2 linked regions of the Oryctolagus cuniculus genome follow. The protein of the gene in region 2 purifies or fractionates together with the protein of the main gene of each other region. This does not show direct contact. Links are inferred from orthologs where the notes say so. Each region holds a gene or a part of one and is shown on either strand. Other genes may lie near its edges.

Evidence for each region.
Region 1: the proteins of CAV1 (region 2) and KCNA5 purify together in Homo sapiens (affinity purification with western blotting, with the first as the bait; 3 studies listed by BioGRID). This does not show direct contact. The link is inferred for Oryctolagus cuniculus from reciprocal best matches to the Homo sapiens genes CAV1 and KCNA5.

What each region holds. Positions count from the first base shown.
Region 1 is NC_091440.1:104,407,368-104,419,358, forward strand, and holds KCNA5 (potassium voltage-gated channel subfamily A member 5), read right to left. Parts: upstream 5,936-11,991; 5' UTR 5,918-5,935; coding exon 4,121-5,917; 3' UTR 4,068-4,120; downstream 1-4,067. UniProt on the Homo sapiens protein: Voltage-gated potassium channel that mediates transmembrane potassium transport in excitable membranes. Forms tetrameric potassium-selective channels through which potassium ions pass in accordance with their electrochemical gradient.
Region 2 is NC_091434.1:152,014,035-152,025,455, reverse strand, and holds the end of CAV1 (caveolin-1), read right to left. Parts: intron 7,495-11,421; coding exon 7,153-7,494; 3' UTR 5,298-7,152; downstream 1-5,297. UniProt on the Homo sapiens protein: May act as a scaffolding protein within caveolar membranes. Forms a stable heterooligomeric complex with CAV2 that targets to lipid rafts and drives caveolae formation. Mediates the recruitment of CAVIN proteins (CAVIN1/2/3/4) to the caveolae.

The sequences.
Region 1 (11,991 bases), on a different chromosome or scaffold from region 2:
TGAGCGAATGTGACAGGGTTGTGCAGCTCTGGCCTGAGGCCAGTTGTTACATTTCCAGCAGATTGCATTTTAAAGGGTTACATACCTACTGAAATAACAGCCTCAGTGCTGGCTCTTAACCTGCCTTTTTTTACTATTGTGCCTTTTTCAGGAATTTGCACACTCCCTGCCTTAAAAAACTGCTGAGCACCGACCCTCTCCCCCAAGCCTTGCTAAATTGGAGCTCCCACTGTTAGCTTTAGGCTGGGCTCCAGTTGGAGTGACAGCGTCTGGGACCACCTGGGGTCCTGCTCCAGCCCACTGCTCTCATCTGCCTTATCTGGAATGCCCCCTCTCTCTAGCCTCTCTGCAAGGTCCCCCAAAGCTATTCTGTTCTCCCCAAGTCCCGGCCAACACCAGGTATGCTACACTTGGTTTTGCAGCCATATACAGGGTCCTTGAGCACATCCACACGTAGCTTTCTCATAATACTCATTTCCCATGAGTTTTTTGAGACACATCTCATGGTGCATGGATTTCAAAACTTTTTTTCACGAAAATAAATGTATTGCTTTTTAAAATTTGAGTGAAAAATAAAAAAAGTCCATGCTTTGGTTCATTCCTCAAAGGCCCAGAGTGCCCAGGGCGATGCCCAGCTGAAGCTGGGAACCTGTCACTCAATCCAGGTCTCCCACCTGGGTGGCAGGAGCCCAGTTTCTTGAGCCACCACCATTGCCTCCCGGGATCTGCATTAGCAGGAAGCTGGACTCAGGAGCCAGAGCTGGGGCTTGAACCTAGGTACTCTGATGCAGAATGGGAGCATCTTTTTTTTTTTTTTCAATTACCATCTTAACTGCTAGGCTAAACACACACCCCTAAGTTCATTTTTTATCCCACTTTCTACAAATTATCAGGTTATCTGGTGTGGCTTGCCTGTTGCACCCTGACTGATTCCCCAGTGCGACTGCAGCTCTGTGAAGGCAAGTGTTTTTCCACTGTCCTTCATCACACAGAGGAGAGTGCTAGGGGGCCAGCAGACAGGTGCCCTTGGCCATCAACCAGAGCCGAACTCCATCGGCCACAAGTCTGTCCTTGCTGGAGGGGCCTCGGACCAAGCGTCCCCGCACCCAAAGGAACTGCTGGCTCCATCTGCCCCGAGCCTGGGAGTGCCTCTATCAATCTCGCTAGAATGATGCAAACCCCAACTGTCTGGAAAAATTCCTCAAGAGCCAGCACTGTGTTTTGCTCTCCCCTCTGGGGAGAGTTCCCAGCACTGGGGCTTTTAAAGTTAGTGAACTGATTTTGTTTTCCTGAAACTGTAATTGCTTAGGGTTCAGCAAGCATACCAGCAGGAAAAGAAAAAAAAAATAAGCAGTGAAAAGGGGGGGGTGCTTTGTTGTCCTCACACGAGGACAGGACATCCAGGAGCAACCTTGCCTTCTGCGACTTCTTTCCCAAAGCAGGTAGATTACAAACCCAGAAGTGGTTTCCTGCCGGGAGCCAGGGAGCAACATCTGGAGAAAGAGCTTGGCAGAGGTCACTTGATTTTATCTGTGTGCAGGAAGGCAAAGGCTGTGTAAAACCAATGACAGCCGAGCAGAGAGGGCGGAGGAGGAGGGGGCTCCTTACCTCAGGTACCCCGGGAAGAGCCTTGACATTCAGATCCCTTTCCTGTTGCTCCTGCAGAAAGCCTGTGCCTGGCGCCTGGAGAGAAACACTGGACTCTTTTTCTAGAAGTATAGCAACAGGTGCACCACAAGTCCAGCTGGCCAGTGGGTGTCCCTCCCCGTGCCCCAGGGTAAATATGAGATCAGTGACTTCCAGGATGAGAGCCGCAGCAGGGCACCTGACTCCAGGATTCCCTGTGGCACCACCATGACCCTTTTGTAAACTGCTCTTCAGTATCCTCTCCGCATGCAAAACAGGGAGCCTCACCATCTCATTTGCTTCTCTCTCTCCCTGAGGATTTGCCTAAGATGGCACCCATGTCCTGCACATTTTAATCATGCACTCCATTTTAATCTGGCCAGCAACACCCTGTTTGGCACCTAGAGATGTCTGAAATCTGGGGGTTGCTCTGTCTTTATTGCTTAAGTCCAAAGGAATGGGGCCTTCAGGCCAAAGGTGGTGACATTGCTTTGGGTTTGCAGGGGTTGATACCCAGTCCCAAACCCCTAGCTGTGTGCTAAGCTACAAAAACCAGCTTTGCAGGCATAGAGGGCTCGGGAGTGAGAGCGGGCGCAGTTGAGCTTTGGCACGATGCCCTGCTTTTAGGCAGACTGCAAATTATAAATAAGCAGAGCCTCTCTGTTTTGCCTTTGCCTTAGCATGTAATGAAAAACAATGGCCCTACTGCACGATCTGCTTCCCCCTCAGATGTGCTGCTAACAGATCCTGGCTGCATTCACAGACACCGTCTTGTAGTATTGGCGTCCATGCCTCGATGGAATCCACAGTTCAGGGATGCCTTTTCACTAGCTCCTCCCTACTCATAGGGAGACCTGCACTCCCCACTTGGAATGAGCCAGTGAGCTCACTGTCATTCCAAGGGAAGGTGTGAGTAGAGACCGCCAGCCTGCTCTGGTGAACATGGGAAAACAACCAGTCTTTGGATTGTTCATTGCAAAAAGCAACAGCAGGAATGTGGAGCCCCAAGGCTGATTCGTTAATCCCCATCCGGAGAGAAATCTGAGCCAGTGTTGTACCTACACACAGTGATGCTGTGCCTCAACCATCCAGGGCAAAGGAAAGCAAAAGGATTCTTCCTAGGGGTAGGGATGAGTCGGGGCAAGGACGCACAGAATAGGAGCCAAACTTGAATGTGAAAAAGCAAACCTTTCCATTGCACTTCTCAGGGCTGCTGTCCACCCTGCAGACCCTGCCCAGACCAAGAACCCTTTTCTCTGACTTTTCACACCGAGGAGGGAATCTAGTGAATAGGTTTCATGTGTGAGAATCAGGACTGTCGCTCAGAGCTGCAGAGCAGTACCAAGCACAGCTTGAAATCTGCAGACTTCGGAAACCCAGCACAGCAGATCACAGTGGGACTGTGGGGCTCCAAGCACCCTTCGCACTCCACACTGAGCATGGGTCTACTGCCACCTCTTCAGACCACATGCTGCAGGGGTGTCCCTGTGACAAGCAGCCCGAGACAAGCAGACTGTACCCATCATCGCCTGGGAGACAGAGACGAGGCCCATCACAACATGTCACTAAGCAAAGCACAGGTTTCAAGGCTTCATTTGCTGACACTCCAACACCACACACAGCAAGGGACAGACTACTTTGCAAAATTTCCAAAACTGCTTCGGCTGTAGGAAAACTAACACTTGCCCCAACCAAGCAACATTTTATTTCCTGGGATAAAAATAAAGAGAGTGAAGGATCAGAAGTCTTCCTCCAACATCCGTGATATGCTTTTTGAAAAAGTTACGAGAACTGTTTAAGGCGCATAAAAATGTCAGACTTGCCTTTCTTCCAGAATGTTCCCTGTCTTAGACACAAAGCACCGAAAACACATCTGAGAATAGAGCAGCCTGAAAAACCCAAAAAAAACAAAGAACAGAGGTACTGGACTCTGGCTCTGACATGAATTCACAGAAAACATCACCGTAACGCTCTCTCTCTCCCCTACAAATACAATGTGTATCTTGGAAATAGAATCAAAATATCCCCATCTGAACCGCAGTACAAAAATCCACTCACTGGCCACAAAAATAATGTTTCCCCCTATACACAAATATAATCGTATATAAAGCAAACTTGAACCCATGGGTAGGGAGGGTTACAAAATCTCTTGGGATCTGGGCTATTTAAAGTCATTTCTGTTTGGGTTATCCCTCTGCTGGGTATAGGAAAGTGGCTACAAATACATCCATCTGACAGCATTCACCATTTCAGCAGCTCCTGCGTCATGGAATGTGGTACTTTTTAAAAATAGGTGACCCTTGGTGTCATGGAAAGAAGAGGAAAAATGGGGGAACTGAGTGGGGGAGGAAAGGAGGGGAAGGAGTGACAGAAGAGGGACAGGCACCGGTGACAGGGTGGACTTGCAATACTCTGTGGTAGGAAGTGGATGCCCAAGTTCAGGGACTATGCTGACCCCACCACCACCACCACCACCACCACCACCAGTCTCCCTTCACAAGTCGGTTTCCCGGCTGGTGTCCAGGCAGAGGGCATACAGGGACCTCCGCAGATCCACATTGCTCTTGGCCTTGAGGTTGTATTTCTCTAGGAGGCAGCTGCCCCTGCGGACACTGTCTGCAGTCTCCAGGGACCCCCCAGCTTTGCAGAGGGAAGCCTTGCTCCAGCTGGCCTTGCGCTGGCCTCCTGCATCCAGGGAGGTGCCCCGGCTCTGGCTGCCTGGCTCTTCCTTCAGGGCTGCCTGCTCCTCGTGGTCCGTCTCCCGGTGGTAGAAGTAGTTGAAGTTGGAGACGATGACGGGCACGGGCAGGGCGATGGTGAGGACCCCGGCGATGGCGCACAGGGAGCCCACGATCTTGCCCCCCACTGTGATGGGCCTCATGTCCCCGTAGCCCACCGTGGTCATGGTGACCACCGCCCACCAGAAGGCATCGGGGATGCTGGAGAAGTGGGTCCCCTGGTTGTCAGCCTCTGCGAAGTAGACGGCGCTGGAGAAGAGGATGACTCCGATGAAGAGGAAGAAGATGAGCAGCCCCAGCTCCCTCATGGAGGCCTGCAGGGTCTTGCCCAGGATCTGCAGCCCCTTGGAGTGGCGGGAGAGCTTGAAGATGCGGAACACACGCACCAGGCGGATCACTCTGAGGATGGCCAGCGACATGGCCTGCTGGCCGTTCTGCCCGCCTCCTCCGCCCCCGGGCTGCTGCTCTGCCAGCTCGGTGCCCAGGGTGATGAAGTAGGGGAAGATGGCCACGATGTCGATGATGTTCATGATGTTGCGAGAGAACTCGGCCTTGCTGGGGCAGGCAAAGAAACGCACAAGCAGCTCGAATGTGAACCAGATCACGCACGTGGTCTCCACGATGAAGAAGGGGTCGGCCAGGGTCCTGGGCAGGAGCGGAGCCACCGTGGAGCCAGAGGCAGGTGCCACGGCCCCGCTGCCATTAGCTCCCAGGGCAGGAGCCGCCGGAGGCTGGTGGGGCACCGGGGGGTGGCGGAGCAGCTCGCGTTCGTCCTTGAACTCGGGCAGGGTCTCCAAGCAGAAGGTGATGATGGAGATGAGGATGACCAACACCGAGACGATGGCGATGGCGCGCGCTGACCCGGAGCTCTCCGGGTACTCGAAGATGAGCCACACCTGGCGCTGGAACTCGTTGCGGGGCAAGGGCTTCTCCTCATCTTTGATGAAGCCCTCGTCCTCCCGGAAGCGCTCCATGGCCTCGTCCCCTAGCTGGTAGAAGCGGATCTCGTCCGCAAACACGTCCAAGGAGACGTTGACCGGCCGGCGCAGGCGGCCCCCGGACTGGTAGTAGTACAGGATGCCGTCGAAGCTTGGCCGGTTGCGGTCGAAGAAGTACTCGTTCCTCAGCGGGTCGAAGTAGCGCAGGCGCTTGGCGGGGTCCCCCAGAAGCGTGTTGGGAAACTGCGCCAGGGTGCCCAGCTGCGTCTCAAAGCGCAGCCCGGAGATGTTGATGAGGACGCGCTGGTGGTGAAGGGCCCCCGCGCCCAGCGTCTGCTCCTCCGCCACGCTCAGGCCGGGGTCGCCTTCTCCCTCCTCTTCCTCCAGCGGCGACCGTCTAGACTGTGGCAGCTCCGGGGGCTGCGGCGGCAGAGGCCGCTCCCCCGGCTCTGCGCCCCGCCGCGCGCTGCAGCCGCGCCCTCTCGGCGCCGGTTCTTGGGAGCCATCGCCGAGCCCAGCCGTCGGCGCTGCTTGGCTGCATCCTGCCGTTTCCTCACCTCCTCCTCGGATGGTCATGGCACCGCCGTTCTCCAGGGGCCCCAGGGCGATCTCCATAGCCCGAGGGCACGGGGCATGCTGCGCCCCAGCCGACCGGCTCCCGCGCCCCCAGCGCCAGCTCCGCCGGCGCCTCGCGTCCGGCCCCTATCCCGCGGTCGGCCGGCGGGGCTCCGGGGGGCACTAGGGTTGCTGGCGCGGTCCCCTTGCTGGATCCTGACGTCAGGGAGACGCTGTCCTGCTCCCTGCCGATCTCGCTGTCTGGGTAACCAAGCAGCTGAGAAGCCTCCTCCTGCAGATGCAACCTCCAGTCGCCCCTCTCTGGCTGCGCGGCGCTCGGCCTCCGCCCTCTGCGCCTGGCCACCCCTCCTGCGCCCGCCGGCTCCTCCCGCTTCCCTCCCACCCGCGGGTACCGTGGCAGCGGGTTTCTCCCCGGAGGGCGCAGCTGGGCCCCAGGCGAGGGAAGGGAAGGGAGGGGGGCCAGGAGGGCGCAGCCCAGTGGAGGGAGAGGCGGGGGGAGGAACAGGTTGTACCGAGAGAGCTAGGAGTCTCCCAGGGCAACCAGATGGGGACAACTCAGGATTTCAGGTCACCCGGGAACCGGTTGAAAGCCAAGTGGACCCCAGGGAAAGGAACTGCCTTTGGGTGAAAGGCGGGACAACAAAACCTTTCCACGGCTTTCCTTTGACAGACACCCAATAGCTTCTCTTTGGGAGGAATTACAGACAAGAGATAAAGAACCACATCGCTCCTCAGCTTCCTACAAACCCATGAAAAGGTACAGGGCTGCAACCCTGCGATGCCCCCTGCCCTCGCCTGGGAGAAACCCTGGCCCCAGTCCTGGCAGCCGCGGTCAGCCACAGCAGCCGCATCCCCAGTTGGGCATCCACAGGTGGGCATCCCCAGCTGGGCAGCAGCCCAGGAGATAAGCTTCCTGGTCTCCTAATCCTGTGGATGCGCAGCCGCTGGGCTCTCTCCACCAAATCCCTTTTGCCAAAACCACAATGGGGAAGAGGAAAGAAGGGTTTTTAAAATCCCAGGGCAGGCTGATGCTGCCTGCTGAATCTGGGAGCCAGCAAGTGTGTGGAAGCTGGGACTGGGGTCTGCAAAGGCACGAGTGCTTTAGGAGTGGGAGCCAGGAGAGGCTGTGGAATCCCTGGGGCTGGAGAATTCCCAAGAGGAGAATCCTAACAACACATCCTGACTGCTCTCCGTATAGTGCTGGCTCATTCCCAGTGCTAGCTACTGACGCCCGTGTTCCTATGGCAACCTAGTAGGTGAGGAATGTTATTGGCCCCCTTTGTAAATGAGCAAGCTCCCTACTGGCCACTGCTCCATAGAATTGCTAACCACCTTTGCAGACACAAGTGTTCCCTAGCTGTACTCCCAGAGCAGCAGGGTGGCTGAGATGGCTACCCTAGAAGTCACTCTCCGTGAGGGGACCAGGCTATCTCCTGCCTCTGCAGGGTTTGGGTGGCATGGATAGCCAAAGGAAATGTTTTTCAAAGCATGTCTGGAAATTCCAGACACAGCCTCCAGATGTTTCTTGGTTTTTCAATTACGCCAAAGCCCCTGTGTTTCTGAATGTCTGATTGCATTGTCTGCTTTTGTTCCCATAGATTATGTGGGGTTTATTTATGTGCATTGCTTGTCTGTGAATTAAATCGGCACCCAAAGGGTGATTTGGGAGTTTGCTGGGATGGCAGAAGTAGAGGAGGGGGGTTGGCCGTACAAGTTGGTGTGAAGGTTGGAGAAGGATCTGTGCACTTGGCTTTTTTGGGGTGTGTATCTGAGGGTGGAGGTGAATTTGTCACATGTACGTGTTCTCATGCACATGTTTTGTGCGTGGGCTCGGCTGTCTTTGCAAATGTGCATGGACTTAGAAGGGGCATGAAGGTGAAAGCCGGTAGGTGCAGGCATCCCTGGGTCACAGGGTGCATACCCTCATCTCCCCGTCCTCTGTCATCCCTGCTTCCTCTCCACTGGCCCCTGTTCTCTGGCCCAACAGGATTGGGCCTGGAGCTACTGAGCTTGTGGAGGGTGGGGTCAGAGACCTGCGACCACTGCATCTTGTTGACTGACTCCTGTGAGCACAGGGGCTCTCCTTGGTCTCCTTAGGAGAAGGAACTCTCTGGAGCTTGTCTCCCAGGGACCCTCAGGGGGATTGCTCCCTGGAGAACAAGAATACAACACAGCAGTCCTAGCAAAGCACGAAAGTCAGGCCTCCTTTAATGTGGCATTTTGTTAAATGTGCTTTCCATGCATTCGCCAACCCACATAGGTATCTTGCAAAATTGGCTGCATATGTCACATGTGGTAGCCACAGAAACAGACTGCTGAGAGCGCCCTTGTTTCCTAGCTGCAAGAGTGGTTGTTTTTTTTTTTTTTTTTTTTTTTTTTGACAGGCAGAGTGGACAGTGAGAGAGAGAGACAGAGAGAAAGAGAGAGAAAGGTCTTCCTTCGCCGTTGGTTCACCCTCCAATGGCCGCCGCGGCTGGCGCACCGCGCTGATCCAATGGCAGGAGCCAGGTGCTTCTCCTGGTCTCCCATGGGGTGCAGGGCCCAAGCACTTGGGCCATCCTCCACTGCACTCCTGGGCCACAGCAGAGGGCTGGCCTGGAAGAGGGGCAACCGGGACAGAATCCGGCGCCCCGACCGGGACTAGAACCCGGTGTGCTGGCGCTGCAAGGCGGAGGATTAGCCTAGTGAGCCACGGCGCCGGCAAGAGTATTGTTAACCGAGAGTCTCTGCAGTTGATGACTTGTGACCCTGCCTCAGCTTTTGTGCAGGGGCCACCCTCCTCCCAGGCAGGCTTTTGCCCATGACTGAATGCAGCTGAGCTACAAGACCTGGCCATTTGCTGTCCACCATGGAGCTCTGCTAATGAACGCTCCTGGCTCTGGCTTGGGTTGGCCAAAACTTGGTGAGATCTGCCTTGTAGCCTGGGGAGCTCCCTGTCCAGCCTTCATTCCTCCCTCTTCCTTTCCATGAGTGCCACACCAGCATCCCGGTCTGAATGCTTCCTCTATTGAATTCTGCTTCTCACCCCTTTTCTCTCTCTGTGTTTCTTGCATATGAACTTCCTGCCTCTGACCTCCTCCTCTGTGCCTTCTCAGAGGACACGCCACATACCTGAAACCTGCCTTGCTGTCTACCCATCTAGTCCTAGCAGTGCTTAAACAGCAGCAAGACCTGAGGACCTAAAAGACAGACTCTGAGCTGGCTGAGGTTTAGTCGCATTTCAAATAAGTTCGCAGGTACTGCTGATGCCCCTGTCTACAGATCACACTGTGAGTAGCAACTTCAACTCAGACAAACCCCAAACGACATCTTCTAAAGAATGGTTCGGGGGCGGCGCTGTGGCACAGTGGGTAAAGCCACCGCCTTCAGTGCTGGCATCCCATATGGGTGCTGGTTTGAGTCCCGGCTGCTCCACTTCTGATCTAGCTCTCTGCTATGGTCTGGGAAAGCAGTAGAAGATGGCCCAAGTGCTTGGACCCTGCACCCGTGTGGGAAACCTGGAAGAAGCTCCTGGCTCATGGCTTTGGATTGGACATTGTGGCCATCTGGGGAGTGAACCAGTAGATGGAAGATCTCTCTCTCTCTCTGCCTCTGCCTCTCTATAAATCTGTCTTTCAAATAAATAAATAAACCTTTAAAAAAAAGAGAATGGTTTGTAGCCCCTGAACCTGTCCCGCAGAATGAGACACATGCAGCAGAACATGTGGGAGGACTTCTCTCAACTTGCAGGACTGCTCCTGGGCAGATCCCAGGGGAACCCGTCAAGTGTGCAGAACCCGAGGGAAAAGAAAGTGCTAAGGAGTTGCTGGAAGTCAGTCATTATAAGGAAGGAGGAGAAGGTGAAGGGAGACAAGCAGGAGGAAGAGAAACAATCCTAAATACTAATTTTATTAATCCATGTCAAAAATACTTATTGTGGGCCGGCGCCGCGGCTCACTAGGCTAATCCTCCGCCTTGCGGCGCCGGCACACCGGGTTCTAGTCCCGGTCGGGGCGCCGGATTCTGTCCCGGTTGCCCCTCTTCCAGGCCAGCTCTCTGCTGTGGCCCAGGAGTGCAGTGGAGGATGGCCCAGGTGCTTGGGTCCTGCACCCCATGGGAGACCAGGAAAAGCACTTGGCTCCTGGCTCCTGCCATCGGATCAGCGCGGTGCGCCGGCCGCAGCGCGCCGGCCGCGGCGGCCATTGGAGGGTGAACCAACGGCAAAAGGAAGACCTTTCTCTCTGTCTCTCTCTCTCTCACTGTCCACTCTGCCTGTCAAAAAATAAAAAAAATAAAAAAAAAAAAATTAAAAAAAAAAAAATACTTATTGTGTATGTACTCTGCATGACACTGCCCCAGGTGCTGGGAACATATTGATGATCAAGACAAACTTACGGGGCGGGCACCATGGCTCACTTGGTTAATCCTCCACCTGCAGCACCAGCATCCCATATGGGCACCGGGTTCTAGTTCCGGTTGCTCCTCTTCCAATTCAGCTCTCTTCTGTGGCCAGGGAAGGCAGTGGAAGATGGTCCAAGTGCTTGGGCCCCTGCACTCACATGGGAGACCAGAAGGAAGCACCTGGCTCCTGGCTTCGGATTGGCACAGCTCCGGCGGTGGCGACCATTTTGGGGGTGAACCAATGGAAGGACGATCTCTCTCTCTCTCTCTCTCACTAACTCTGTCAAAGAAAAAAAAAAAGACAAACTTATTTCTTAACCTCTTGGAGGTCCAAGATTAGGTCAATAACTTCATAGAAAATGGAATTAATAACTTAGTTTATGGGGCCGGCGCTATGGCCCAACTGGTTAAGCTACTGTCTGCACCGCCAGCGTCCCATATGGGCTCCGGTTTGAGTCCTAGCTGTTCCACCTCCAATCCAACTCCCTGCTAATGTGTCTGAGAAAGCAGTGGGTGGAAGATGGCCCACGAGCTTGGGCCCCTACCATCAACATGGGATACTGGGTAGAAGCTCCTGGATCCTGGCTTCCAATTGTCCCAGCTCCAACCGTTGTGGCCATTTGTGGAGTGAACCAGAGGATGGAGGACCTTTCTCTCTCCTCTCTGTCTCTCTCTGTCTCTCCCTCTCTATATATGTGTGTGTGTGTGTGTGTGTGTGTGTGTGTGTCTGTCTTCTGCCTGCCCTCTCTCTAACTCTGACTTTCAAAGAAACAAATATATCTTTAAAAAATTTAGTTTATGTTGGTGCAAAATATACTGAAATACATGCATATAAGGGCATGTTAAAAAGTTCATGAAAAATGCATATTGTGAAAAACTATGCATGGATTTTTTTTTTTTGTAACAGAGCATCCAGTACTGGAACCTTGCATTCAGATATGGGGTGCTGGAATCACACACTGTGTCTCAACAGCAGTCCCATTGGGCCTCATCTTTCTAAGCAAACATGGCAGTGTCAGGAGTGGAAAGAGGAGTCCTCAACTTCTTTGGTCAAAATCAGCCAAAACTTCTTTGGCTTAAAAAAAAAGGGAAAGAGACAGAGACAGTAAGAGAGAGGGAGAACTTGATTAGTATAGGTTCCTTACCATCTGGGGCTTATTGCTGATTAGCCCAAAGTTACAGTTCTATTACAAAAGACTCATGGAAAATGCATATACTGAAAACACTATGTGTGGTTTTCAAATTTTTGCTCCCAAATAAATATCTTTTAACTGCATTTTCCCACAAACTTTTTGACATACTCTCTTAGTAAGCAGTAGGAGTACGCTGCCCAGCGATTGGTGGCAGCGTGTTGCTCAGCGGAAGGCGAGGAGCTGTCACCTAGCCCCTCTCCCAGATGTCTTCACCTCCTAGATCTGCCCTGGGAGCCCTTTAATGAGAGGAGCAGGTGTTCTCCTTGCCCTTCCCCCTCTCACTGCCCAGCCATCCAACACTCTGGGAAGGAAACCCTGGAAATGATTTTCCTTTCTTGTTTGATGGAAGCTGCAAAGGTAAAGCAAAGCAAATGCGCACAACATGTGTGTGTGAGTGCATGTATGAGTGTGTATATGAACATGTACGTGTGTGTGTATGAATGAGCGAGTGTGTACATGAGTGAATGAGTGCGTGTGTGTGTGTGAGGGCTGAGGGGATGATTGACTGTGTGCAAGGAGGAAGAGCAGCGAGAAGGTTGA
Region 2 (11,421 bases):
CTCCCCAAATGACTGCAACAACTGTGGTTAGTCCAGACTGAAGCAAGAGCGTGGAATTCCATCCAGGTGTCCCAGTTGGGTGGAGGGGCCCAAGAACTTGAGCCATCTTCCACTACCTTCCCAGGCGCATTAGCAGAGAGCTGGGTAGAAAGCAGAGCAGTCTCAGTACTGGCAGCTTAAGTGCCATACCACAATGCTGCCCCCTCTTTTAAAATTATTTAGTATTTGAAAGGTAAAGTGACAAAGAGGGAGAGAGTCTCTCTCTCTCTCTCTCTCTCTCTCTCTCACACACACACACACACACACACACACAGAGTAGATAATTCTTTTGTGAAGTTTGGCTGTAAAATAAAGAAAATAGTTGATGGTTGGAAGAGGATCTGATGCCAAGGGAGGATATTTTTTTTAATGAAAAAGAGATCCATGGCATTTGTAGGATAATGATAACAATCCAGAACACCAGCATGGACTGGTGATTAAAGAATTATAGGAGATAACCAAGGGAGCAAGTACCTTGGGAAGCTAAGAAGGGAAGGCATTCGTAACAGATGGAGGGAATGGCTTTGGATCAGCAGACTTGTGTTTAGCAGAAGGGAAAGAGAATAGGGCAGCAAATCTAAGCAGATTCTTGCGCTTTGTGGGAGGAGGAGATTTTGTACTGATGTCCTCAGGGAGTTGGGTCATGAAAAACTAAAGAAATTCATTATTGTTCAAGCAGTTGGAAGATTAGAGAATGATTATAAAAGCCAAGTATATGAAAGGAAGGTAAAAAGCCATAGTTTTGAATCTTAATAGTAGAATGGTTCCAGAGAGTAATTTTTGTTTAATAATATTTATGTTATGATTTATTTCAAAAAATATGATTATTACTTTCAATTGAAGTCTGTCCTGGAGTGTGTCAGTTTATCACCTATTCATTTTAGGATCTTGAAAGTTACTAAACTATAATATGGCATAAAATAGACTGTAAGAAAACATTTTTAAAGTAACTTTTATTTTTATGTATTTAAAAACAGAGTGACAAAGACACACACACACAAACACACTTAGAGAAAGACAGAGAGAGAGAATTTTGCTTTTGCTGGTTTAATTCCCAAATGCCAGCAACAACCAGGGCTGGACCAGGCTGAATCTAGCAGCCAGGAACTCTATCTGGCTCTACCATGTGGAAGGTAGGGATTCAAGTTCTGGGTTGTTACTGCTGCCTCCCATGGTGCACAACAGCAGGAGGTTGGATCAGAAGCAGAGCCAGGACTTGAACCCCAGCACCCTGTTATTGATTATGGGCTTCCCAGATAGCTTAACTGCTCTGCCACAATGCCTGCCCTAGTAAACTCTTTTTTGTTTTTTTTTTTTGTTTCTTTTTTTGTTAGGAAAACTTACATTCAAACCCTTCTGTCAAATATTTTGATAAATTTGTGAAAGCAGTTTTACTTTTATATCTTAGATGTAAATGATTCAATTTGCATTTTAATGACATCCTTATTGTTGACCATTGCTTGTTCTCAGTAGAGATAAAGCTTGCTTCTGTTTTCCAGCATTACCACTAACCTTATGGCTTAGTAACATGTTTGGCTCCCAGATTTAGAGCTAGACTTCATGAGTTCATAACTCTGGCTTTGTCAATTGTTGGTTGTGTGACTCTGGGCAAGATACTTGACTCCTCTGTGCCTAATCTGTAAAGCTGAGATGGTGAAAATATGTACACCATCCAGAGTTACTGGGAAGATTGAGTGAACTAATGTTTAAAGGACACAGACTTGGGATCCAGTCTGCAGCATAGCAGGCTGAGCCTCTGCCTGTGGTGCCGGTGTCCCATATGGGTGCTGGTTCATATCCTGGCTACTCCTCTTCAGATCCATCTCTCTGCTCATGGCCTGGAAAAGCAGCGGAAGATGGCCCAAATGCTTGGGTCCCTGTCTCAACATGGGAGACCCTGAAGAAGCTCCTGGCTCTTGGCTTTGGATCGCTCCAGCTCTAGCCATTGTGCCAATTGGGGAGTGAACTAGCAGATAGAAGACCTTTCTCTGTCTCTCCCTCTCTCTGTCTGTAATTCTACCTTTCAAATAAATAGATAAATAAAATCTTTAAAAAAATCTCTGTGTGCCAAGTCTGCACACACATATTGGTGCATGAAACTATTGCTAACGTTTGCTTCAGCTATGCTCACATTACTCACTTACTACACATGGAAAATGATTCTGCGAGCCAGTGAGAAGCCAGTGGAAATGGAAAGCTTCATGAAGAGGAAGGCTCAGGGCACAGACACTGCCCAGAGCTGGAAGATAGAGAGTGAGGAGCAAGGCTTTGGTGCAAGACACTCTGGGATGTGATGATAGCTCTAATACTTAGAAGTTATGTGAATGGATGACTCACTAAAATTCTCTAAACCTTATTTGTACAATGAAAACATCAATACTTACCTTGAAATCTTGTGTAAGAACAATAATGTTTGTGATGTAGCAGGAACTCAGAAATGGTGCATCTATTTGAATCTACTTCCTTTAATTTTTAAGCAAGCAAAAGTCAGCTACATACACTTCAGACAATTGTTTAACTCTACCATTTAAGTTAATATCATGTCATGGACATATTTCCACTTCATTAACTATCCCACTGGATAAAATATCAAAGTGTACAAATAACATATCTGATTCCTTGTTTTTGAACATTTTTGTTGTTTCCAATTTATGATACTACTGACAAACAAATAATGAACATCTCTGATTGATGACCCAAGGTATGCTTTGTTACATTTTTTAGTAAATGGCACGGTGGATTCTATCTTACGTACATTGAATTGTCCCCCAAAAGGCTTCTCGTACTCACCCTCACAGAAGCAATGAATGTGTGTGCTTTCTTTCCAGTGTCCTCAGCAATGTGCACTTGACTTTCATTTTTCAACTCTGCAAACTTAGGTGAAAATCGTATCTCACAATTTTGATTATTTGCATGCCATTTTTGATGAATGGACATTTTTCATATGATTATACACTTCTTTGTGTAAATTACCTTTTCATTTATTTGCATACTTTTCAATTGGCATGCTCATCTTTTTCTTTATATCTCTGTACATCTTTTAAAGTACAGTACTAAGCATGTGATATATATACATATAAATATATGTAATGTATACTATATATTACATATGTAATATGCTTCCTTTTATCATTCTATCATTTATTTTGTTTCTACTAGTTTTTATATATAGAAGAATATGATCGGCCAGCGCCGTGGCTCACTAGGCTAATCCTCCGCCTGCATCGCCGGCACTCCGGGTTCTAGTCCCGGTTGGGGCGCCGGATTCTGTCCTGGTTGCTCCTCTTCCAGTCCAGCTCTCTGCTGTGGACCAAGAGTGCAGTGGAGGATGGCCCAGGTCCTTGGGCCCTGCACCCACATGGGAGACCAGGAGGAAGCACCTGGCTCCTGGCTTCGGAAAGGCACAGCGTGCTGGCCGCAGCACGCCAGCCATAGCAGCCACTTTGGGGGTGAACCAATGGAAAAAGGAAGACCTTTCTCTCTATCTCTCTCTCTCTCACTGTCTAACTCTGCCTGTCAAAAAATAAATAAAAAATAAAAAAGGATATGATTTTTATGTATTCATAGCCATGATTTTTTTTATGGTTTTACCCTTTTGTATTATGTTAAGGTACCTTATTTTTTTAAATTCTCCTCTCCTCTCACTTTCATAAACAAGAATTCCAATTTAAAAAGCAGAACGTTTGAATATCAGCACCCACATCAGGGAAGGTATGAGTCAACTGTTTAGACAGCCTTGCTTCACTGGACTGATGTGTATTATTATGTAACTAACATTTACTAAATGTGTGATGTATGAAGCTATTTACTCCCAATGCAGATTAAGAGTGGTCTGAAGCCATGTGATTATCTGTGGGGATGGAACTATTTCATGTATGTAACTCAAACAAAATGGGAATAGGTCTGATCTTGTTAATATGTACTTGTTTAGATTCAAATCATAAAACCAAAGGAAAGATAATCCTTGTTTAAAGTCATGTCACTCATTCTGCCTGAACTGGAGACCTAACTTCAGCCAGGATGTCAAATGCTGCCTTGATCAAAGCCATGTCTCCATGTGTATAATAGCAGTGGATTTGTTGGGTAAACACAAATCCAGACTGGGTTACCAACTAAGCAGCCTCCATGCTTTCTTGAAAGCCCAGCAAGAGAGGAACACTGTTAACTGCCTCGGAGAACTTCAGGGTGGGAGGCTTAGAAGATACCCTTCATGAAATTTGGTTTGGAAGCTGCGAGGGTTCATTTTGTCAGCTTACCTGAACCATGGGATTTCCAGGTGTTTGGTCCTACATCATTCTGTTTATGGTTTTGAGGGTGTGTGTGGATGAGATTAACACTTAAATTGGTAGAAAGAGTAAATCAAATTGACCTTCCTAACATGGGCTTCATCCAGTGGGCTTCATCCAATCCACAGAAGAGAAATAAAGGCTGACCATCCTCCCAGTGAGAGAGAATTCCTTCTGCTTGACTGTTTTCACACTGGGAAATCGATTTTCTCCTACCATTGGACTCAAAGTGCTATATCAGCTCTTCCAGGGTCTTGATTTTGCTGTCCTTTGGAATGGAGCAACAAGATCAACTTTGCTGCAGCTTCAGCTTGCTGGCTCCTACTGCAAATCCTGGAACTTGTCAGCTTCCATCATTGTGTGGGCCAATTCCTTATAATGAATCTCTTGCTCTCTGTCTTAACCTTTATCATCTCTTATCTCCATCTTTATCTCTGTCTCTATCATCTTGATCTCTATGTCTGTCATCTCAATCTCTCTATCACCTATCATCTGTCATTTCTCTATGTCTGCTGTCGGTTCCGTTTCTTTGGTGAACCCTGACACAGAAACCCTGAATGTGAACTTAGCCAAGAAAAAAATAATTACCTCTTAAGAAATTTCAGTTCCATCATGGTAAAGTTCAAGGCTTTGCCCAACCCCCTGAATACAAATTGTGTCATTTGTCAAATGATGACATTAACGTCCATCCCACAAAGTTATTAGGGGCTCACATTGGATGAGATAGCATATAACATTTATCATTAATGATAATTTTTATTTGGAGTAATCCATGAATGGGGTTAATCTTAGCAGAAAGATCCCACTTAAATAACTCTGTCAAGATTTAAAAGTGAGAAATCTTTACACTCCCCTGCACACTACATACATGTACACACACAATATGCACATGCTCACCACATACAAATACACAGACACAAACACTGACACGTAAATGCCCATGTAGGAGGAAATAATGGAAGTTGACAGTTTTAATTGTTTATTGTGCAGAATTTGTAACCTTTATAGGACATGCAGGATAAAAAAGTGTAAAATATATCATTAAGCATATAAAATCTTAGCAGTTTTTTGGACCAGCAGTTGATTTGCACAGGGGACTGAGCATCTATGTAGAACAGACATGTCTTGGGATACACAGTTTACAGATTGAATCACAAAGCCATTTCCCAAGTGATGTTCATCATATAAAGATAAAAATATCTTTACACGTAAAAAGTATAGTACATTTTCAGTTATGTACACAATTTAAAAGTAAAACTATGTCCATGCCAGTGTCTGTTTTAAATGCAAAATATCGGAGATAACAGGTCGGCAATTAAAAGTTCAGGAAGATTGGAAGAGGCAAAAAAAATCAAGCAAAGTTCTAATAAGTGTATGAAAATACAAGTGAAAGCATAACTGGAGGTTTAAAAAAGTCCCCAAGGGCAGGATAACAATATGAACAGGAGAAATGAAAAGCTTATGGATGTACCAGGCAGCTTTCTGCATGACTCAGGTTTACAGGTGAAATTCCTCAGCTTGAATTCAGAAGAATTTGAACTGATTCCAGCAAATTAGCTCAATCTTTTGCTACTGCCTCCTCTCCTCATCTTCTTTCTGAGCAAAGTGGCATTTGGATGAGGGCCAAAGCTCCTAGGAGAGGGAGGGACTAGTGTCCCAGGCTAACAGATGGTTGCAAGTGCTTTACTTAGAAGGGTCACATTGACAACACCGCTGACAGTCTTACACAATGGCCTCCATTTTGACATCCCATCCCTAGAGGCCCACTGATCAGCTGAAAAGGGAACACAATGTTGAGCCACTAAACCACCGCGGTGATGGATTAGTGTGGATTCAGGAAAGCGTCATTATTCTTGAAAATAAACGGAGCTGAATAGACATGCTGACCACATTCAGCTGATGAGAGGCAGGGAACGCTGGCTTCCACCCCTGCCAGCCCAGAGAGGACTCAGCCCCATTTGTCCACTGTAATTTGCTTTCTAGGGCTCCCATACTCAATATGGATAAAGATGCTGCATGATCAAGTGCAGATCTATGCTATGCCATGTCTGTCAGTACACACAGGCACAGAGAACTAGAGAATGGATTCTCTAATTTTGGTTTTCAGAGGCTGCAGAACTAATGAAAGTGAAGAATTAGGTTCTATTTGAAAAGGACAATGAGAAAAAAGAGGAAGGCACTTAGGTCTTGTTATCTATTTAACAAATATTCAGGCACAGGAAGTATAATAGTTTAAAATTTCGAGAAGTGTAAGGTATTGGTCACATAATGTGAATGCAGAGGATTATATTTTCTAACTCAGTAAGGATCACTAGACCCCAGTGAATCACTAAAGTGACCCACAGTGATTCACTAATTCCTCAGACAGTTGGGGCTGCAGGATCTGCTTAAAATCTGCCCACATACCTGTACACTCAATGGCCATAGCCTGGAATTCTCCCCTTTCTATAAAATAATCAACATTTTGGAGTAGGCAGTAAAGTTGTGTGTTCTTTTTCTTTTCTTTCCTTAGTTCTTCATATCTCTCTCAAGTTATCTGTCAATAATATGTTCATATCCCAGCCAACAAAACAGTGATCCTCATCCAAATCAAAATGTAAGGAAAAACATTGGAATGGCTTTAAAACATTCAGACTGCCAAAAATAGATGAAATAGCTCAGAAGAGAAAATAATAGCTATGAAAACTGAGAAAGTGATTTCTTTGTTCTGAACCAAGATACATCATTCATAAATTGTTGCTGTATTAGCAACTTGAGACTTGGAATTGGCACCAAGAAAATTAAAAAGAAAAACAAGAATCAGGACTTTCTACCCTTGAAATGTCATTTATATTTCTTTCTGCATACTGATGCGGACATTGCTGAATATTTTGCCAATAGCTTCAAAGAGTGGATCACAGAAGGTGTGGACGTAGATGGAATAGACTCGGCTGATGCACTGAATCTCAATCAGGAAACTCTTAATGCAAGGCACAACTGCCCAGATGTGCAGGAAAGAGAGAATGGCAAAGTAAATGCCCCAGATGAGTGCCATTGGGATGCCAAAGATGGTAGACAGTAGGCGGTAAAACCAGTATTTCGTCACAGTGAAGGTGGTGAAGCTGGCCTTCCAGATGCCGTCGAAACTGTGTGTCCCTTCTGGTTCTGCAATCACATCTTCAAAGTCGATCTAAAAGAAAAAAAAGTGACAGAATGTGAGCATGGGATGGAAGAAGAAGAGAAAGAACAAAGAGAGAGTGAGAGAGAAACACTCACTACCCAGTATCCAAAAGTGAACAGTGATATTCCCGTGCCATCCCTGTGTGAGATGCTGCCACGATTTGGGTAAGTGTGGGTGTATCCCATAAAGGTCCATGTGCTGGAAACTTGGTACCCACTGTGGTGATGTGGGAAGTCATGGGATCTTTAAAAGGCGGGTCCAGTGAGATAATTCTAGGTCATTGGAGCCTCTGCCCTGGGCAGAGATTAGTATAAGTCACATGGGAACCTTGTTTGTTATAAAGGAGCACGATCGGCCTCTCTCCACTCTGTCTTCCTGTCTCAAACCCACTACTTTCACCATGCCATTTGCCATGATTGCGCCTCAGCGAGGGGAGACCCTCGCCAGAGCCAGCATCATGCTCTCTGAGCTTTCAGTCTCCAAAGCTGTAAGCTGAATCAATCTCTTTCTTTATAAAGGACCTTGCTTCATTTATTTCATTACAGCAACAAAAAGGAACTAATACGGATGCTTAAATTGACCACAACATCAGTGCCACTTGGAACAAATTGGAAACACAGCTTATCTGGGCCTCACTCCCCCCTCATTACCCTCTCTGGGCTTGGAAGAGGCAAAGAATAATTAGGAAAACTAAGAAAGTGATTTCTTTGTTCTGAACCAAGATGACAAATCTATGAATTGTTGCTGTACTAGCAACTTGAACCTTGAAATTGGCACCAAGAAAATTACAAGAAAAAAAAAGAATCAGATGTACTTCTGTCCTTGAAATGTCATTTATATTTCTTTCTGCCTGTTAATGTGGACATAGCTTTTAATGTGTTCTCCAGTTGTTTCTTTACCATGCAAAATTTGAAAACTACTACTCTGGGAAAAATCAAATCATTATGGTTAGATTCCTTGCCTTAAAGTAAAATCCAGCAACATAGATGAGGATATGAAACATTCCATAAAACATAAATAAGTTGCCATAACTGAATTGCCTTTGGAGACAATGACACATGCAATGTTAAAGAACAGTTAGTTTAAAATTGATTAGTGATGTTCCAAACACAACTAGAATTAAATCAGGAAACTAGATCACTGTGAGCTGTGAGGCATCAAAAATACTTCACAGGGTGCTGGGATGTGGGCTCTGGAGAAGAAAGAAATGTGGGCCTTGGAAATACAGTTAGCAAAGTCCCAGGAGCCAAGAAGGGTGAGGACAGTGGGTGTCACCGGCAAAGCGGACCATAGTGGTCAAGGCTGAAAAGACAGGTTGGGGACAGATTAGATATTATTTTACATGCAGTGGTGGTCTATTAAAGACTCTGGAACAGAGATGTGTAGCTAGTTAGTGTAGTAATTTATCAAGATGAATTTGACAATAGCACATAGGCTGGCAGTAAGGAGGCAGAGACTGAAGGCAGGGAAACTGCTGCTGTCATTCAAGTTTGACATGGTTGGGTCAAGGCTGGAAAAGTGGTCATGATAAAATAAGATAAGGAACTCCAGGAAAAAATATAAGGGAAGAATTCACAGGACATAGTTACTTGGAGATGGGGGAGAGCTAAGCTTAATATGAACTTTGAGCTTGTCTTTTCTGCTAGGGAGAACAAAGATGACATTAAGAACAAGAAGAAAATTAGAAAGAGAAGACAATTAAAAAATAAAAGAACCAGAGACAGCATCACTTTTTTTAAAGATTTATTTATTTTATTTGAAAGTCAGAGTTATACAGAGAGAGGAGAGATGGGGGGCGGGGAGAGAGAGAGAGAGAGAGATGTCTTCCATCCAATCGTTCACTCCCCAGTTGGCCACAAAGGCCTAAGCTGCGCTGATCTGAAGCCAGGAGCCAGGAGCTTCTTCCAGGTTTCCCACGGGGGTGCAGGGTCCCAAGGACTTGGGCCATCTTCCAGTGCTTTCCAAGGCCACAACAGAGAGCTGGATCAGAAGTGGAGCAGCCGGGATGTGAACCAGCGCCCATATGGGATGCTGGCGCTTCAGGCTAGGGCATTAACCCACTGCACTACCGCGCCGGCCCCAGCGTCACTTTTGAATTAAACAAATTGAAAATAAAGTTTGAATGATGACAAATACAAATCTCAGCGGTCCATGTATGATGAATCCTATAGAAGTTCTTTTAGGTGGCCGCTAGGAAATACTGAAATGAGTGGGCAGTCACACAGAACTTAATAGTTAGTAAATGCTTCTGTATGTATTGTATCTGTGAACAGCATCAGAGGCTTCAAATCTATCTGGAAAGGAAGGTTACTGCCAGTTTACAAAAGAAGCATGGGGAAGGTGAGTTGCTAAAGATTCACAGAGCAACCATGGGGTCAGAATGTGAACTTGGTCTCTCTCCCAGTGGTATTCTCTTGCAGGTGTAGGATCATCTAGACAATTCTCAGGAGGTTTTATCCCTCTGCAAGGACTTCTGTAAACTAAACTGAAGCACAAGGTTAAAAACAAAATTACCAACAGGAAGGCCCGACACAGCCAGCTCAACTGTCTGGTGGTGGCAGCTATATGAAGAGATCTAATGTAATCTGAAATCCAAACAAGTTGATGATCGCCAGCAGTGTGCAGCCAAGCTCAGGATTAGGCAATGAGGACTTGGATGACTCTGTGGAGCTGCTCAGTGCCAAAGAGCCACCTTTGATTCAACACAATAAAATGTCTCTTGGAAAAAGTGCATGATGCTTACCAATTTTGAAAGTTTATTTTCTAGAACATTCTGTTTCTTGCTCCATTGCCCAGTGTCCTAATATTCATTGTATTATATGGGAAAGTGGTATGGTCACAATTATGTAAATTAAGTTAAGTAGTTTTGCTGCCACTCCATTTTTCCTCTGTCCCTTTAGATTCCATGGCAAACATTTACTTGTATATTTAAAAAGTTGTAGGATGGCAAATCCGACCAACACTTTAATTCGGTTTTTGTGCAACTTATTCAGTTGTCTATTATGAGTTTGTGTTCTGTCACTATATTGTTTCCACAGCTATAAAAAATAAGGACCTGCAGTTTTCCTTCATTCAACTGCAATATAGCAAAATATCTTGTTTTATAAGAGGATTTGGTGAAGCCAAATGAGTTACTAGAGCAGGTTTCTTAATCTGAGGTCAGAGAGTGGGCGATGGTGGTCCATCACCCTCCAATGGCCGCCACAGGTGGCGTGCTGCGACCGGCGCACCGCACTGATCCGAAGGCAGGAGCCAGGTGCTTCTCCTGGTCTCCCATGGGGTGCGGGGCCCAAGCACTTGGGCCATCCTCCACTGCCTTCCCGGGCCACAGCAGAGAGCTGGCCTGGGAGAGGGGCAACCAGGACAGAATCCGGTGCCCCGACCGGGACTAAAGCCCGCTGTGCCGGCGCTGCAAGGTGGAGGATTAGCCTACTGAGCCATGGCGCCGGCTCATAGGTACTTTGAAACAAGTGCATATGTCTTGTGTGTATGTTGGGAAAGGGCCCATCACCTCTAGTGAGCCGGTGCCGCGGCTCACTAGGCTAATCCTCCACCTTGCAGCGCCGGCACACCGGATTCTAGTCCCGGTAGGGGCGCCGGAATCTGTCCTGGTTGCCCCTCTTCCAGTACAGCTCTCTGCTGTGGCCAGGGAGTGCAGTGGAGGATGGCCCAAGTGCTTGGGCCCTGCATCCCATGGGAGACCAGGATAAGTACCTGGCTCCTGCCATCGGATCAGTGCGGTGCGCCGGCCGCAGCGTGCTGGCTGCGGCGGCCATTGGAGGGTGATCCAATGGCAAAGGAAGACCTTTCTCTCTGTCTCTCTCTCTCACTGTCCACTCTGCCTGTCAAAAAAAAAATAAATAAATAAAAATTAAAAAAAAGAAAAGAAAACAATGCCTATTATCAAGGAAGGCTAAGAAGTAGTTTACTGGGGGC